2 linked regions of the Diceros bicornis minor genome follow. The protein of the gene in region 2 purifies or fractionates together with the protein of the main gene of each other region. This does not show direct contact. Links are inferred from orthologs where the notes say so. Each region holds a gene or a part of one and is shown on either strand. Other genes may lie near its edges.

Evidence for each region.
Region 1: the proteins of MMS19 (region 2) and POLD1 purify together in Homo sapiens (affinity purification with western blotting; 3 studies listed by BioGRID and IntAct, with this or other methods). This does not show direct contact. The link is inferred for Diceros bicornis minor from reciprocal best matches to the Homo sapiens genes MMS19 and POLD1.

What each region holds. Positions count from the first base shown.
Region 1 is NC_080773.1:25,593,683-25,601,346, forward strand, and holds the start of POLD1 (DNA polymerase delta catalytic subunit), read left to right. Parts: upstream 1-4,571; 5' UTR 4,572-4,572; coding exon 4,573-4,774; intron 4,775-5,114; coding exon 5,115-5,228; intron 5,229-7,483; coding exon 7,484-7,630; intron 7,631-7,664. UniProt on the Homo sapiens protein: As the catalytic component of the trimeric (Pol-delta3 complex) and tetrameric DNA polymerase delta complexes (Pol-delta4 complex), plays a crucial role in high fidelity genome replication, including in lagging strand synthesis, and repair.
Region 2 is NC_080745.1:63,272,523-63,280,081, reverse strand, and holds the start of MMS19 (MMS19 nucleotide excision repair protein homolog), read left to right. Parts: upstream 1-4,480; 5' UTR 4,481-4,495; coding exon 4,496-4,607; intron 4,608-7,559. Other genes in the region: UBTD1 (ubiquitin domain-containing protein 1), read right to left, coding at 3,572-3,641. UniProt on the Homo sapiens protein: Key component of the cytosolic iron-sulfur protein assembly (CIA) complex, a multiprotein complex that mediates the incorporation of iron-sulfur cluster into apoproteins specifically involved in DNA metabolism and genomic integrity.

The DNA of each region.
Region 1 (7,664 bases), on a different chromosome or scaffold from region 2:
TCCTCATGTCCCCAGCGGATGAGAGGGTGAGCACGCTGTGATGGAACCAGACAGTGGGGAGATATTCGGGCATAAAGGGAAATGAAGGACCCATCCACGCTACAACGTGGGCGGGCCTCGAAAACATAATCCTCAGGCAAGTCTGACACTAAAGGACATAGGTTCTAAGATCCCTTTTATAGGAAATGCCCAGCATAGGCAAATTATTTGCTGAGACAGACAAAGTAGGTTAGCAGTTGCTTTGGGCTGGAGGAGGATGGGCTGAATAGGGGATGACAGCTAAAGGGTGCGCGGTTTCTTGTTGGGGTGATGATTATATCTCAGTAAAACTGTCTCCCCACCCCCACCCTCACCCACAAAACCAGTGTTACCAGTTTATTGCTTATCTTTCCAGAATTATGCATTAAAAGCAAATATATTTATACATATTCTCCAGCCCACCTGGTGAAAATGTTTTTCTTTTACGTACTTCCCCCCAACTTTTTATTTTGAAAAGTTTCAAACCTGCAGAGAAGTTACAAGACAAGGATAATCTGTGCCCTTGCCCAGGTTCACCGGTTGTTAACATACACACGCATACACACATTGGGTTCTTTTTTGGCTGAACTATTTGCAAGTTGTGATCATCATGATACTTTGCCTCAAAAAACCCCAGCAGGTATCTCTTTTTCTTTGCTGAGGAAGACTGGCCCTGGGCTGACATCCGTGCCCATCTTCCTCTACTTTATATGGGACGCCGCCACAGCACGGCTTGACAAGCGGTGTGTAGGTCCTCGCCTGGGATCCGAACCTGCGAACCCCGGGCCGCCAAAGCAGAGCACGCAAACTTAACCAGTACGCCACCAGGCCAGCCCCAGGTATCTCTTAAGAACAGGGATGCCCGCCTACGTAGCTACAGTATAATTATCATAATCAGGCCATTTAACGGGATACAGCCCTATTATCTCATAGACAGTCTTTATTCCTGTTGTCCCGGTACTCTTAGCTATTTTCAATTTTTTAATCCAAGATCTAATCTGGGGTCACACTTTGCATTTAGTTGTCAGCACTCTGTAGTCTTTCCTTTAATCTAAAACAGTTTCCTGGCTGTTTTTTTCCCCCCTTTCATGACATACGACATTTTTGAAGATTCCAGACTGGTATTTTTACAGACCACTCTTTACTTTGGTTTGATTGTTTCCTAGTGACTAGAATCAGGGTAAACATTTTCCTTGACATCTTTTTTTTTTTTTTCATACAAAAGATAGCACTAAGTACACCGTTCTGCACCTTGCCTTCTCTACCTAACAATGGGTCTTTGAGAGCCCTCCATATCAGTGCATAGAGAGCTTCCTCATTCCTTTATACAGCTGCATAGTATTCCATGGAACGGAATTAATGTAATTGATTTAAACAGTCCCCCAGGGGAGGACATTTAGGTGGTTTCCAGTCTTTTGTGATTGCAAACAGTGCTGCCGGAAATAACCTTGTAAATGTACTTTTTCATTATGTGATAGTATATCTGTAGCATGAACCCCTAGGTGTGGAATTGCAGCCTCCCCACTTTTATGTTTCTAATTGAGGTGTAATTTACATATAGTGAAATGCACAGGTCTCAGGTGGACAGCTGGATATGCAGTACATTTCCATCACTCCAGAAAATTCCCTTGTGCCCCTTCCCGGTCAATCTCTCCCACCCCGCAAGCAGCCACTAGCCTGATTTCTAGCATCATAGATTAGTTTAGTCTATTCTAGAACTTTGTGTAAACGGCATCCTACAATATATACTCTTTTTATAATTGAGACGAAATTAACCATTTTAAAGTGTACTGTGCAGTGGCGTTTACCATACTTACAATGTTGTGCAGTCACCCACCTCCATCTAGTTCCAGAATATTTTCTTTCTTTTTTTTTTTGTTTCTTTTGGTGAAGAAGATTGGCCCTGAGCTAACATCTGTTGCCAGTCCTCCTCTTTTTGCTTGAGGAAGATTGTCCCCAAGCTAACATCTGTGCCTGTCTTCCTCTGTTTTGTATATGGGACGCCGCCACAGGATGGCTTGATGAGTGGTGTGTAAGTCTGCGCCTGGGATCCAAACCTTTGAACCCCGGGCCGCCGAAGCAGACCACGTGAACCCAACCGCTACGCCCCCAGGCAGGCCCCTCTAGAACATTTTCATGCCCCCAAAAGGAAACCCCATGCTCGTTAGCAGTCACTCCCCATCCCCCCAGGGTGTACTCATGTCTGGCTTGTGTTCGGTGTGTTTTGGAGATTCATCCATCCTGTGTGTATGTATATCAGTAGCTGCCTCTTTTTTTAATGCTGAGAGGTATTCCACTGTATCCCACCTCCACACGTTTGCAATAACACACCCCCAACAGTTCAGAATTTTTCTGTGCTGTATTTAAGGTCTAAGCTAAGCCACTGTAACAGAGAGACCCCAAAGCCCAGTGGCTCAGGCAAGATACAAGTTTATTTCTCCACATAGCCCTCCAAAGGTAGGTAGTTCATTTCTCCACATAAACCTCCAAAAGGTTGTTGAGGGGCCCGGGTTCCTTCCATCTTGTAGCTCTGCATTCTCTGGAATGTTATCCTTTTCCCTGTGGTCACGGTTGGTTCACCACCACCACATCCATGCTCCAGCCATCGGGAAGGGGGAAGGTGCTGGAGGGCAAGCTTCCTTCTAAGGCTGTCCCCGATGTTGCACGCCTTGAAGTCGTTCCCGTTCCGTGAGAGAGAACTCGGTCACGTGACCACCCCAGCAGTGCACACCGTGAAACGTAGTCTCGAGCTGGGCAGCCTGTGGCAGCCCCAAGGCAAGGGGTCGGTGTTGAAAAGGATGAAGGGGGGAGACTGGATCTGGGGGCATAGTTGTGGGATCCAGAGGTGTTCCCTTGAACCTGGGCAGCTGACCTATCCACTCCCCTCCCCTCCCCACCAGCTGGGTCTGGGGTCTGCTCTAGGCTCCCATAATCCCCTCTGTCTCAGCCTGGACACTGAGAGATGTGTGCTTTTCTAACAATTCATTTTCTTTTTTAATAATTTCAAACATGGGAAGGTTGAAAGAATAATACCAAGAACACCTGTGTACCCTTCACCCAGATTCACCTGTTTTCACAGTTTTCCTTATTTACTTTGTGATTTGCACACACACATGCTTTCTTTTTCTCCTCTCTATGTACATATGCACACTGTAAAACAACTTTTCCGAACAGCTTGCATAGATCATGGCCATTTACCCCTAAATACTTAAGTGTGCATTTCCTTAGAATATTCTCTTTCTGAGCCGCAGAAAGTTACCAACTTGAATAGGCTTAACCTAAATACAGTCTTTTGTCTAATCTACTAGAGGACATGTACTTGTATATCAATATATCCTGTCAAAATATACCCCTCAGATAGGGGCCGGCCTGGTGGCGTAGTGGTTAAGTGCGCGTGCTCCCCTTCGGCAGTCCGGGGTTTGCGGGTTCGGATCCCAGGCGTGGACCTATGCACCGCTCATCAAGCCATGCTGTGGCAGCGTCCCATATAAAGTGGAGGAAGATGGGCATGGATGTCAGCCTAGGGCCAATCTTCCTCAGCAAAAAGAGGGGGATTGGCAGATGTTAGCCCAGGGCTGATCTTCCTCACCAAAAAAAAAAAAAAAAAAAAAAAAAACGAAAAAGAATACATGTAAACACATCTAAACAGCAGTCTCTATTTGGTTTGCTGTTGTGTTTCCTACTTTGGATTGTGGATTGAGGGCGGGGGCTGCTCTCAAGGGCATTTTGGGGATTATTGGAGAAATTGGAAAAAGGACTCTTTATTTTGTATTATTATTGAGTCAGTGTTAAATGTCCTGGATTTGATCATTGCACCATGCTTATTTAAGAGAATGTCCTTAAATAGGAAAATAGATAGTAATCTGAATTGTGCATATTGTATATGGGGGTGGGGAGAGGGAGTGGGAAGCAGATGTGGCCCCATATTGACACTCGGGGACTCTGGGTGAAGGCTACACAGGAGTTCTATGAGTTTGAAATTATTTCAGAATAAAAAGGGAGGGCTCTTGTGTTTGTTTTGTTTTTGAGTGCAGTGTTTTGAGCTGGGAAGGGACCTGATCAGATCCGTCTTTCAGGCCACTCCCTGGCCCCCAACACAGTGACTGGCCTGAAGGGGGCGCTGCCCAGCTGTTTGTCGAGGGAAGGCCCGGGCAGATGTGGTGATGGGCGGGCGAGGGCCTTGAGGACAGAGGTTTATGGGAAAGAAAGGGAAGTGCTAAGGAACGATGATGTGATGTGATGGGCAGAGAGGGGAGAGGGCGAGGAGAGCCAGTGACGAGGGGTCTGCAAGGGGCAAGTACCCAGGGACAGAAGGACGTGGAGGGCCTGAGCGTGTGAGGAGAGGGTTAGGCTGAGCTGGGGGGTGGGCTGGAGTTACATCAGCTGATGATCACTGGGCGTCTGGAGCGTTCCAGCACCCTGTGAGCCTGCGGGTGGAGAGCCGTGTTACCCTTCAGGCGCTCCAGAGAATCAAAAGGCTCACAGTCATGGTGGGTGCACGGGAGGCCACGGAGAAGGCGGGAACCCTCACCCAGCCCCGAATTGCCTGGCAGGATGGATGGCAAGCGGCGGTCAGGCCCGGGGCCCGGGGTGCCCCCGAAGCGGGCCCGGGGGGGCCTCTGGGATGAGGATGAGGCGTCTGGGCCGTCCCAGTTCGAGGAGGATCTGGCGCTGATGGAGGAGCTGGAGGCAGAGCACCGGCTGCAGGAACAGGAGGAGGAGGAGCTACTGTCGGCCGTGGACGGGGCTGCGGACGGTGAGGCCTGGAGCGGGAGCCCCCTGCGCCCCCTCCCATCTTGCCTCTGATCTGAGGCAGCCACAGAGCTGACCTGTAACCTCTGGCCCACTTTGAGCCCCACATAGGGCTGACCTTTGACCCCATGCCAGTATACCACTTCCTGCCTGCAGTTTCTATTCTGACCTTGATCCTACAGTCTCTCCCGAGATTCCTGCCTGATCCAGACCACCACCTCCCCTGACTCTCCTTTCACAAATCGGATGCCACCTGAGGGGTCACGGGCTGGGCTGGGAGGGCAGTTACTTATCCTGAGGGAGAACCCCGACTCATGTAGCCCTGCTTCCCTCCCCACACGCAGGGCAGTTCTCCCAGACAGCCATAGATCCCCGCTGGCTTCGGCCCTCCCCGCCCCCCCTAGACCCCCAGACGGAGCCCCTCATCTTCCAGCAGTTGGAGATCGACCATTACGTAGGTGAGTTTGGGGGACAGAAGCCTGGCGGGTGGGTGGAGGGGCCCTGGGCTCCTGCGGGGGAGGCCTGGCCGCGTCAGCCCCGCTGGCTCTGTGGGAGGAGATGGACACAGGCAGTCCCTGCCCTGGTGACCGGGGCTGTGAGAGGGAGGGACAGGCCTGGGGGTGCCCAGAGGGGGCAGCGAGGAGTCTGGTGGGGGGTCGAGAGGGGCACGGGTATCCAGAAGGGCTTCCTGGAGGAGGGGAGCATCTTCCAGCTGAGGCCTGGAGGTAAAAAGAACTGACTCCTTGCAGAGGGGAGAGACGTGTGTGACATCCATCCATCCATCCACTTATCTAGTCAGTCAGGAACAGCTGAGCGTCTCTACCGAGCCAGGCCCTGTTCCTGGCAGACCAGGTCCCTGCTCTCAGAGGCTCACGTTCTGGAAGGAGGGGCAAAATAAAAAGGGAAATGGGACAGCAGGTAGCCGTGAGGGTTATAGAAGAACAAAGCGGGGAGTAGGATGCGGGGCGTGCTGGACCACGCTTCTTGAAGGTCCAGGAAGGCCTCTCTGCGGAGGCGACAAGGAGCAGAGGGGATGTCTGGGAAAGAGGGGTTCTGGGTGGAGGGTCCCGGGCAGGAGCAGGTCTGGTGTGTTTAAGGAGCAGCGAGGAGACCAGTGTGGGGGAGCGAGGGGCAGAGATGAAGGCAAGGGGGCACAGGAGAGCCTGTCGCCCGCGAGGACTTCAGGGCTCCGTTCTGAGCGCACTGGGGAGTCTCTCGCAATGCAGAGGCCCGCTCCCCCTTGCCTATTAGAGGCCTCCCTGTGATAGAATGAAAAGAAACTACAGGCGGGGAGGACGCATTCATCACCCACACGCCTGACAGAGGACCGTGCCGCACATATATAGAGAACACTCAGGTCTCCACAGTAAGAGAACAATCCAGTTCAAAAGTGGACACAAAACTTGAACAGACAACTCACTGGAGGAGAAGGATGGCCGAGGAGCATGTGGGATGATGCTCTGTGTCCCTAGCTCCTGGGGAAATGCACGTGACAGCTGCAGGGAGACACAGCACGCCCCTCTCAGAAGGACGGAAGTGAAATATGCTGGCACCACCAGGTGCTGGCGGTACGCGGCAGGGCGCGGCCACTCGGGGAAACAGCCTGGCCGTTTCTTACCGAGTTTAAGCTACTCTCTTTTTGTCCATTGGGACTCTAGTGGGTTTTTTCCAGCTTTATTGAGATAAAAGAGTTAAACCTACTCTTGGGGCTGGCCCTGTGGCCTAGTGGTTAAGTTTGGCACCTTCTGCTTTGGCGGCCTGAGTTTGGTTCCCAGGCGCAGACCTACACCACTCATTGACTGCCATACTGTGGTGGTGACCCTCATACAAAATAGAGGAAGACTGGCACAGATGTTAGTTCAGGGCCAATCTTCCTCAGCAAAAAAAAAAAGAAAGAAAGAAAAAGAAAAGAAGAGTTAAACCTACTCTTACCATAGGACCCAGCAATTCCACCCCTAGATATTTACCCCAGAGAAACAGCAACCTCGCTTCAAACAAAAACCTGTACCCGGATGTTAATAGCATCTCTTCTCATAACCGCCCCAAACTGGAAACAACCCACATATCCTGCTACCGGGGGAGCGGATAAGCAAACTCTGGTCCATCCACACCGCGCAGTGCTTCTCCACAATAAGGAGGAAGGAGCTGTTGACGCGTGAGGAGGATGAATGTCAGGGGTGTCGTGCTGAGTGCGAGGCAGACCCAGCGGTGACGGGCTGTACAACTCCATTCACAGGGACGGTCTCGAAAAGACGCAGTTAGACGGGGAACAGACCGTCAGTGCCGGGGTGGGGTGGGAGGGGGGCGTGGTTGCAGAGGGGCAGCTCGAGGGAGCTGTCCGGAGTGGCGGAAGCGTCTAGTACCCCGATTTTGGTGGTGGTTACGTGAATGTGTATGTGCGTTCAAGCTCGTAACACTATACAAAGTCGATTTTACTTTTTAAAAGAAAATCTTTGCATTTGCAGAAAAGGGTGGGGGTCTCCGTCTGGCTGCGCCGTGGAAAGTGGACGTTAGGGGGACAAGGGTGGAAACGGAGCCCGGGGCAGGCGGGGCTCGCCTCCACGCCAGGGCTGAAATCAGGCGGCGTGCACAGCGCGGAAGGGCCCCGAGCTGCAGGAACGGGGCTGCGTTCCCGGCACGGGAGGGCCCCGGGGAGGCGAACCTTTGAGGAGTCTGAGAGGGCAGCCCCTGCCTTACCCTGTGACGCCCCCAGGCCCAGCACAGCCCCTGCCTTGGGCGCCGTTGCCACCTCTCGGCTCCGTGCCTGTGCTCCGCGCCTTCGGGGTCACCGACGAGGGCGTCTCCATCTGCTGCCACATCCACGGCTTTGCGCCCTACTTCTACACCCCGGCGCCCCCTGGTGAGTGTCCCCGACCCAGGAGACCCCCACCTCG
Region 2 (7,559 bases):
AAAGAAGTAAACCCCCAAGTATTCTCTGAAGCACGCAAGGACCAATCAGCACCTGAAGGGGAGAACACAGACCTACTGGGGATGCATTAAGAGTAACAGTAAAAAAAAATAAAAAAAGAGTGACAACCACAAAATCTGATGAGATGAGAGGACCACCTAATTCTTCTAGCTAATGCAAGACTCCCTGACCAAGTGGGCACTGTGCCTCTGCTTCACCCATCCAGTGACTAGGAAGACAGAACTAAGGCCAATGGGTGATATAACAAGGCATAAGATTTCAACTCAATAACTTTCCAGTTCTGAATAGCTGCCTTTGTGAAGATGATAAAAACAGCCCTAATGATCTTGTATAATCCCCTCCCTTTCTGAGACATTGAAAGTGTGATCCAGAGAGGTTTGATGACTTGCCCAGGGTCACGCAGCTATAGGCCCAGGACTAGAACTCAGCTTCTAGTTCTCTGTTGAGGGTTTCTTCCCATTACACTAGTGGCAAAGGAAAGGTAAGAGTTACAGTGGGATCTAGGGGAGTTTTAGGCACTAATGTTACAACATAAAACTACGTCCTTGTCAAAGGGTAAGCTGCAGATGTTACAGGAATGCCAGGTGCACGCTGTGAAGTTAAGAAAGATTCCTTCCCTTAGAGCAACCTTGTCATTCTACAGGGTTCCCCTTGGCTTTGGACTTTATGAATAAAGCTATTCATAGTAGGACCCACAGAACTGAAAAAATGATACACTAGCAGGTAAAAACAAAAATGCAGATATATACCTTAGTAAAATGTTTACATGAAAAATTTGGATGGTAGGATGGAGTCGGATTAGCTTTCTAAAATCAATAAATATTGAGGGCCTCCTCTGTACAAGTCATTGTGCTAAGTGTTGAGTATGGGTGTACATGCATGTGTGTGTGCATGTGTACGGCTATATGAGTAAGTGAGACAGACACACACACACACAAGGATAAGACAGAACCCAGGTCTTCAAGCTTGTAATATAGCTGCTGATAAAAGACTGTAAACAGGGGCCGGCACCATGGCGTAGCGGTTAAGTCCACGCGCTCCGCTGCTGGTGGCCTGGGTTCAGATCCCGGGTGCGCATGGAGGCACCGCTTGTCAGGCCATGCTGTGGTGGTGTCCCATATAAAGTGGAGGAAGATGGGCACAGATGCTAGCCCAGGGCCAGTCTTCCTCAGCAAAAAGAGGAGGATTGGCATGGATGTTAGCTCAGGGCTGATCTTCCTCGCCAAAAAAAAAAAAAAAAAGACTGTAAACATCAAAGAAACGACTAACAATATGGAGTAGATAATTGTTAAGTAAGTGGCATAATGTATCTGCAGTAGTTCTCAGAAGGTGCAATCACCTATACTAGGCGGGGAGGGGGGTGGAATTGTCAGGCAAGGTGCTTCTAGAAAGATATGGGGATTTGAGGTGGACCTTGAAGGGAAGAAAGGCTCTTGGTAAGAAGAGCGAAAAGGCAGGAGCAAACACTGGTGGCCTTAATGTCAGGGAAGAGAAAGAAATCATACCTTAAAAGGACAGACTGGACCAGACTTGAACAGCCTTGAAAGCTGAAGTCTTCTGGGGGGACCACCATGTGCAGGCACTGGATGAATGACTGAAGATGAACTTGCCTCTGGTGGGGAACTGACATCAACCTGGGAGATATTGAGCTTGAGGTGACAAGGGCATGAAGCAGAGTGGGAACGGGCAGGTTCATATGACCTGCTGAAGGAGGATCCAGCAGGTTCCAGTGACTGACTGGCTGGGAGGCAGAGGACATGGAGGCAGAGAAAGTCAGCAGAGAGAGTTCTTCAAAGTACAAAGCTAGGCAGCTGCAAGAATGGAAGAGAAGAGGGAAGCTGGTTGAGGGGGAGAGATGCAGAGCTGGTTTTAGAAGTGCTGAATCTAAGGATATCTACATTAGGGCATCCAGTGGGCAGTTAGAGATATGAGTGTGGGGTTCAAGAGGCAATAGTTGAAGATACAGATTAGAGGTCTTCCCAACAGACAGAGTTGTGGGACTGAATAAGATTTCCCTGGGAGGGAGTATAATGAGAGAAAAAAATGGAATGTCATATTGAATCACGGGTGTGCCCACACCCAGGAGGTGATGGTGGGCAGGAGTGATCAGAGAAAAAAACCAAGATAGTCTAATGACAAGAAGGGAAGGAGGGATTATTTCAAGTAGGAGTGGGTTGTTAGTGAAAAATGCTACTAAGTCAATTATGTGGACTGAGCACATAAATAATAAATACTTGTTGAATAAATGAATGAATGAAAGGAAGAAAGCCCTTGGGTTTGAGAATTAACTTTCCTCAGTCAGAAGAAAGGTCAGGGTTGCCTTCAGACAAGAGGGTTTCAATGTTAAATTTTACCCTGTCCCCCCTATAAAAACATGTCTCTTCCACAAGTCATCCTGTCCACCACACAGACATCCTTCCCTGCTTCCCCCGTTTCCCCTCATCCTACTTCCCGGTTTCCACAACCCAAGCAACACACCTTCAGTGTCAAACGAGACAGGAAACTCCAACTAGAATTTCCACTTCATTAACAATCCTGCCTGTAGCTCTTCTGACACAAAGGGATATGTGGCAATTGGGTGGAAGAGGAGACTGCGTTCTACCTCTAGCTGTACTACCAACTAGCTGTGTGGCTTTGGGCAAGTTGATCAACCTCTCTGGATTTGGGCTTTGTACATAGACAGGAGGAGGTACGTCTATCTGGACTCTAGACAAGCTTCAAAGGTCCCTTACAGCTCTAAAGTCTACGATTTTATCATTCTCAGAAGGTCCTTGCAACATCCTCAGAGAAGGAAGTGAGTACAAGACACGGGGAAGCGGCCGCCAGACCTCTTCCCGGGGCAAAACGCCAGGATAGGAGTGTACCAAGAAAGTGAGAAGGCGCTGCTCGGCCCTCGCAGATCAGCAGAGAGTAGATCCCATTCCCAAGGCTGGGAAGTATCCCAACGAACCCGAGGGCGATTCCCACCCCGCACCCCACCTTTCCCAGGCTCCCAGACGGCCAGGAGGCTCTAAAAAGCCTGCGGGAAAAATAAAGATTTCTTTCCCAGAGTCCTGCGCTGCTTTTGCAAGTCGGATTCCGGCAGACACGATCTGCAGCCGGATAATGACACAGTCTTTGGAAGGAGCGACTGTTCTCGCCTCGCTCGCTCAGAGTTCTGGGGACGCCTAGCCGCCCGCACCGTGTCCCGACGGGTGGACGTCCGACCCCAGCCCTACTGCCAGGTCAGCGGCGCCCCCGCCCGGAGCCCTCCTCCCCTTCATCGGCCCCGCTGCGGTCTGCAAACATTTCCTGCCCCCGCCCCCACCCCCACCCGGAGCTTCCCAGTTGGAGCAAGTTGGGCTCACAGGCGGGTCAGCGCTCGCAGTTGCCCCAACTCGGCTCCCCCGGTTACCAGGGCTGGGGAGGGGGCCCCAGTCTCGCTCAGGAGCACCCATCGGGGAAACCCAGGCTCCAGGAGCTTTGGGAGGTCACTCCGGGAGCCCAGGGCTCGGGCAAGGAGGGGGACAACTGGCGGGGCGCCCGTTGCCCTGCTCCCTTCCCGGTCGTTACCTGCTCGCTTGCGGGGGTGTCCCGGGGCGTCCGGCCTCTCCCGGCGCTGTCTCCCCACGCAGTTGCCCATGCTGCCTCCTCAGCCGGGCCCCATGCACCGGAGGCGGCGGGCGGGCCGGCTGCTCCGCACCCCTGGCCCGGACGGCGGCGTCCCGGGTCAACGGCTCCTGCCGCCGGGCATCAGGCGCTCCCCAATCTCCCCCCGGGGTCGCGCTCTGCCCAAGCGCCGGCTTCGCCACAAACTTTGCGGGCGAGGGGAGAGAGGGAGGTGGCCGACTCCGCAGCACAGTCCCAGGTGGCCGGGCCAGGGGGGCCCGCGACGGTGCCCGGCCGGAGACCAGCTCCGCCGGAGGGGCGGAGAGAGGGGGCGGGCACCGCCGCAGCTACTCCCGGCTCGCTCGGGGCTCCCAGCTGGGGCCGGCCCCCTGGAGCCTGTCACTCACCTGCCTAACCCCGCCCCAGCCCGGCCCCGCTCCCTGCCCCTGGCTCGCAGTGCCAGCGCCGCCGCCGCCGCCCGCCCCAGGTGCGCATGTGACCGACGGCACCGCCCCCTCGGGCCGGGCCTGATTTTCTCATTGGCTTCCCTAGGGTGCGTACCGCCCCTAGGCCCCACCCAGCCAGGTGTCCGCCCCGCCGCCCGTCTCCCGGGGAGCCGGGCCCGGAATTATTCGCCCTCAACGGCCCCCGGTTGCGTGCCCAGCAGCCGCCTTCCCTCCCCGCGCCTCCGCCCCGACTCTAGGCCCCGCCCCTCGGGGAGGGACCGTCCCACGCCTCTCTGGAATTGCCTGGCCGGGAGCCTGCAGGCACGTGATCCAGGGAGCGCCCCGCCCCCTCAGCCTCCGCCAGCCCATTGGCTCGGGAGGCGCGTGCGCCGAGAGGCCTGTCCCGTACCACCGCCCACTTCTCCCTCCCGCGGTTCGCATCATGGCCGCCGCCGCCGCTCTGGAGGCGGTGGCGCCTACAGGCAACCTGTGGGGCCTCGTACACGACTTCGTCATGGGTCAGCAGGAGGGCCCCGCTGACCAAGTGGCTGCAGGTACGGCAGACGGCGCCGCGCGGCTTCCGCGTGGGGGCCGGCAGGAGGGAGCGGCCTCAGCACAGACCCTGAGCGGGAAGGGAGTGAGGGACAGTGGTGACTTTGAGAGATTGGTCTGGGGCTGGTTGTGAGCAGCGCGTGCTTAAAAGCCATAACAAACTGAGAGTCGCTTGCATCTTCCCTAAAGCGCCTTTACGACCCTCGTCTCCGTGCATAGCCACCCTTTGCGCTGGCCGGGTTAGGAAAGTAATTACCATTTCACTTGAGGAAACTGAGGCCCAGCGAGTGCAAGAGACTCGCAGATCAGGCAAGTGGGGGAGCTGGGACTCGGACCCAGGTTCTTCAGTTCAGAATCAGGTGCTCACACCGCCAGAGCTCTTGTTTCTGGGAGGTTGACGTGAGAAGATGCATCTACAGCGGCATCAGCTCGAGTCACGTGGCATGTTGGGAGTGGCCGGGCGGCCGGGCGTCTGACTGGCTCTAATTGGAGAGAGGAGGAGAGATGCCAGTCTGGGGAGAGTTTGAGATGTTCTGCGCATCCTCCCTAAGCCTTTCCCTACATTTCTTGGTAAAGTTCTTGATTAATTTTTTCATGACATTTTTGTGTGGTATTTGTTTTTATTTTTTCCCCAGATCTTTATAGTTTCCTGCTTTTGACCAGTTCAGGAATCTCTTAGTTCTGACAGCTTATCTAGATTTGAATAAAGCAAATTACAGATTTCCTTGGAGTTCTGAGACCTTACTCTTTTAGGAAAAAACCTAAAAAGTTATTGAATGTTAGGAGGGCTTCAGACCTCGTGTTTAAGTAATAGAATATAAAATAATCTCTTGAGTACAGATGAGTTTTGGCTTTATTTTTGGAATTTTTGCATGCTTGGAGAGAAGTAAAGGACACATTTCTCTTGAAAATTGAACATATTAACTTTTAGAATATCTGAGAAATGAATAAAGTGAATCTACTAGAAGTATATAATACTTTGGTCCTTAGCAGTATTCCACTTTCATACAATCTTTCCACCATTGTTGAACACACATTATTCTGCAAACACAATGCAAAGCAATAGGAATATAAATACAAATCAGACTAGATCTGTGCCCGCTAGGAATTTATAGTGTGATGGGAGAGACAACCATGCAAACAGATAGTACACTACACCATGAAAAGAGCTATAAAAGATATGTGCAAGGTGGCATGGAAGCATCAAGGAGCAAATGCCTGATGCTGCCATTCCACTGAGCTTAACTTCTTTTTTTTTTTTTTAAAGATTTTATTTATTTATTTTTCCCCCAAAGCCCCAGTAGATAGTTGTCTGTCATAGCTGCACATCCTTCTAGTTGCTGCATGTGGGACGCGGCCTCAGCATGGCCGGAGGAGTGGTGCGTCGGTGTGCGCCCGGGATCCGAACCCGGGCCGCCGGCAGCGGAGCGCGCACACTTAACCAGTAAGCCATGGGGCCGGCCCTGAGCTTAACTTCTTACAGCTTTATGAAGTATAGTGTGTTGAGTGCTTACAATTAACAAGTGCAGTCTGTTATCAATGTCATTTTTCCCAATGTTTTATTATGAAAATTATAGAGCAAAGTCTAAAGAATTTCATAAGAAACACATACACCCACCACCTAGATTCTACCATTAACATTTTAATATACCTTGCTTTATCGCATATCCATCCACCATTTAAATTGCAGATATCACTACATTTCCCCCTAAATACTTTGGTATGCATATCATTAACTAGAGTTCCTTTACAGTTTATTTTGGTGTAAAATTTATATCCAATGAAGTGTACAAATCTTAAATGTACATTCATGGATTTTGACAAATACATACACCTGCACAGTCCAACCCCCTACCAAGATAAAGAACATTACTATATGTGTCGTTTGTAACCCTTCTTTCACATTTATACGTTATGAACACAATAATTTTGGATTTTTCAAATTCATAACACATTTGAGAAGATGCGTGAATAAGGATTGCCAAGTTCTTACTAATACTTTTGTAAAATTTGTATTTTTTATGCCTGAAAAAAATGGCCTAACCTGTTGTCTAGTTTAAATTTAATTCAGCTCAGCTAAGACTGTAACACTAGCCCTGCTGTAATTTAGCCCCTCCTGACTAGAAAAGCAGTTTGGTAGTAGCAGAAAAGTAACAGAGGGGTAGTGACAGATGAAGTTGAAAAGGCTTGTTGGGGTTGGATTATGTATAACCTTGGATTCCTGGCGGAGCGATTTGAATGACCTATTGTAGGTAATAGGAGTCATTGTAGATCCTTGAGCAAGGGAGTCAGTTGTATAATGAAAGCAAATTTGAGAAGGATTAAATTGGTATTCTTGATCTTAGGTCACAGCCCTGGTTAGGGTTGGTAAAGGCTGACAGAGTTTTGAAGCATCCCCACAATAAGATGTGCTTTCTAATCCTCCAGCCTAAATCAAGCTGTGTTAGTGCTAAAGGGACCAGCTTTCTATTCAGCCACTCACAGCAGAAGCCCCTTCTACACATTGTAAATGAAGAAGAAACACCCTGTGATCCTAAAGGCAGCTACCACCAACTTTGTTTTGCACCTGGGTTCCTGGTGAAAATAGGTGTTAGATATAAAGGTGCAAATGATGGAAGAGAAATGACCCGGCAGCCTAAGGGTTAAAGGCTTCTGAGCCAGGCATTCAAAGGCTGCCAACACCTGGCCCTAGCTTGCTTTTACTCTCACCACTCCCCTCCTAGACCTTTAGTTCCACGCAGCCACCTTGATTTTCTGTTCCCTGAGTGCTTTCCTTCCCAGTTCCCTCCACTAGCTCCATCTAATCAAAGTTAGACCTAGGATTCAAGGCCCAGCTTGAGTGCTTGCTGCCTGCCTCCAAGCGTTTCCTGATTACTCCAGCCAGACTCATCTCACACTTCAGAATCTTGGTGGTACTTATTTCTCTACCACTCATGTACTTATTAGCAGACTTG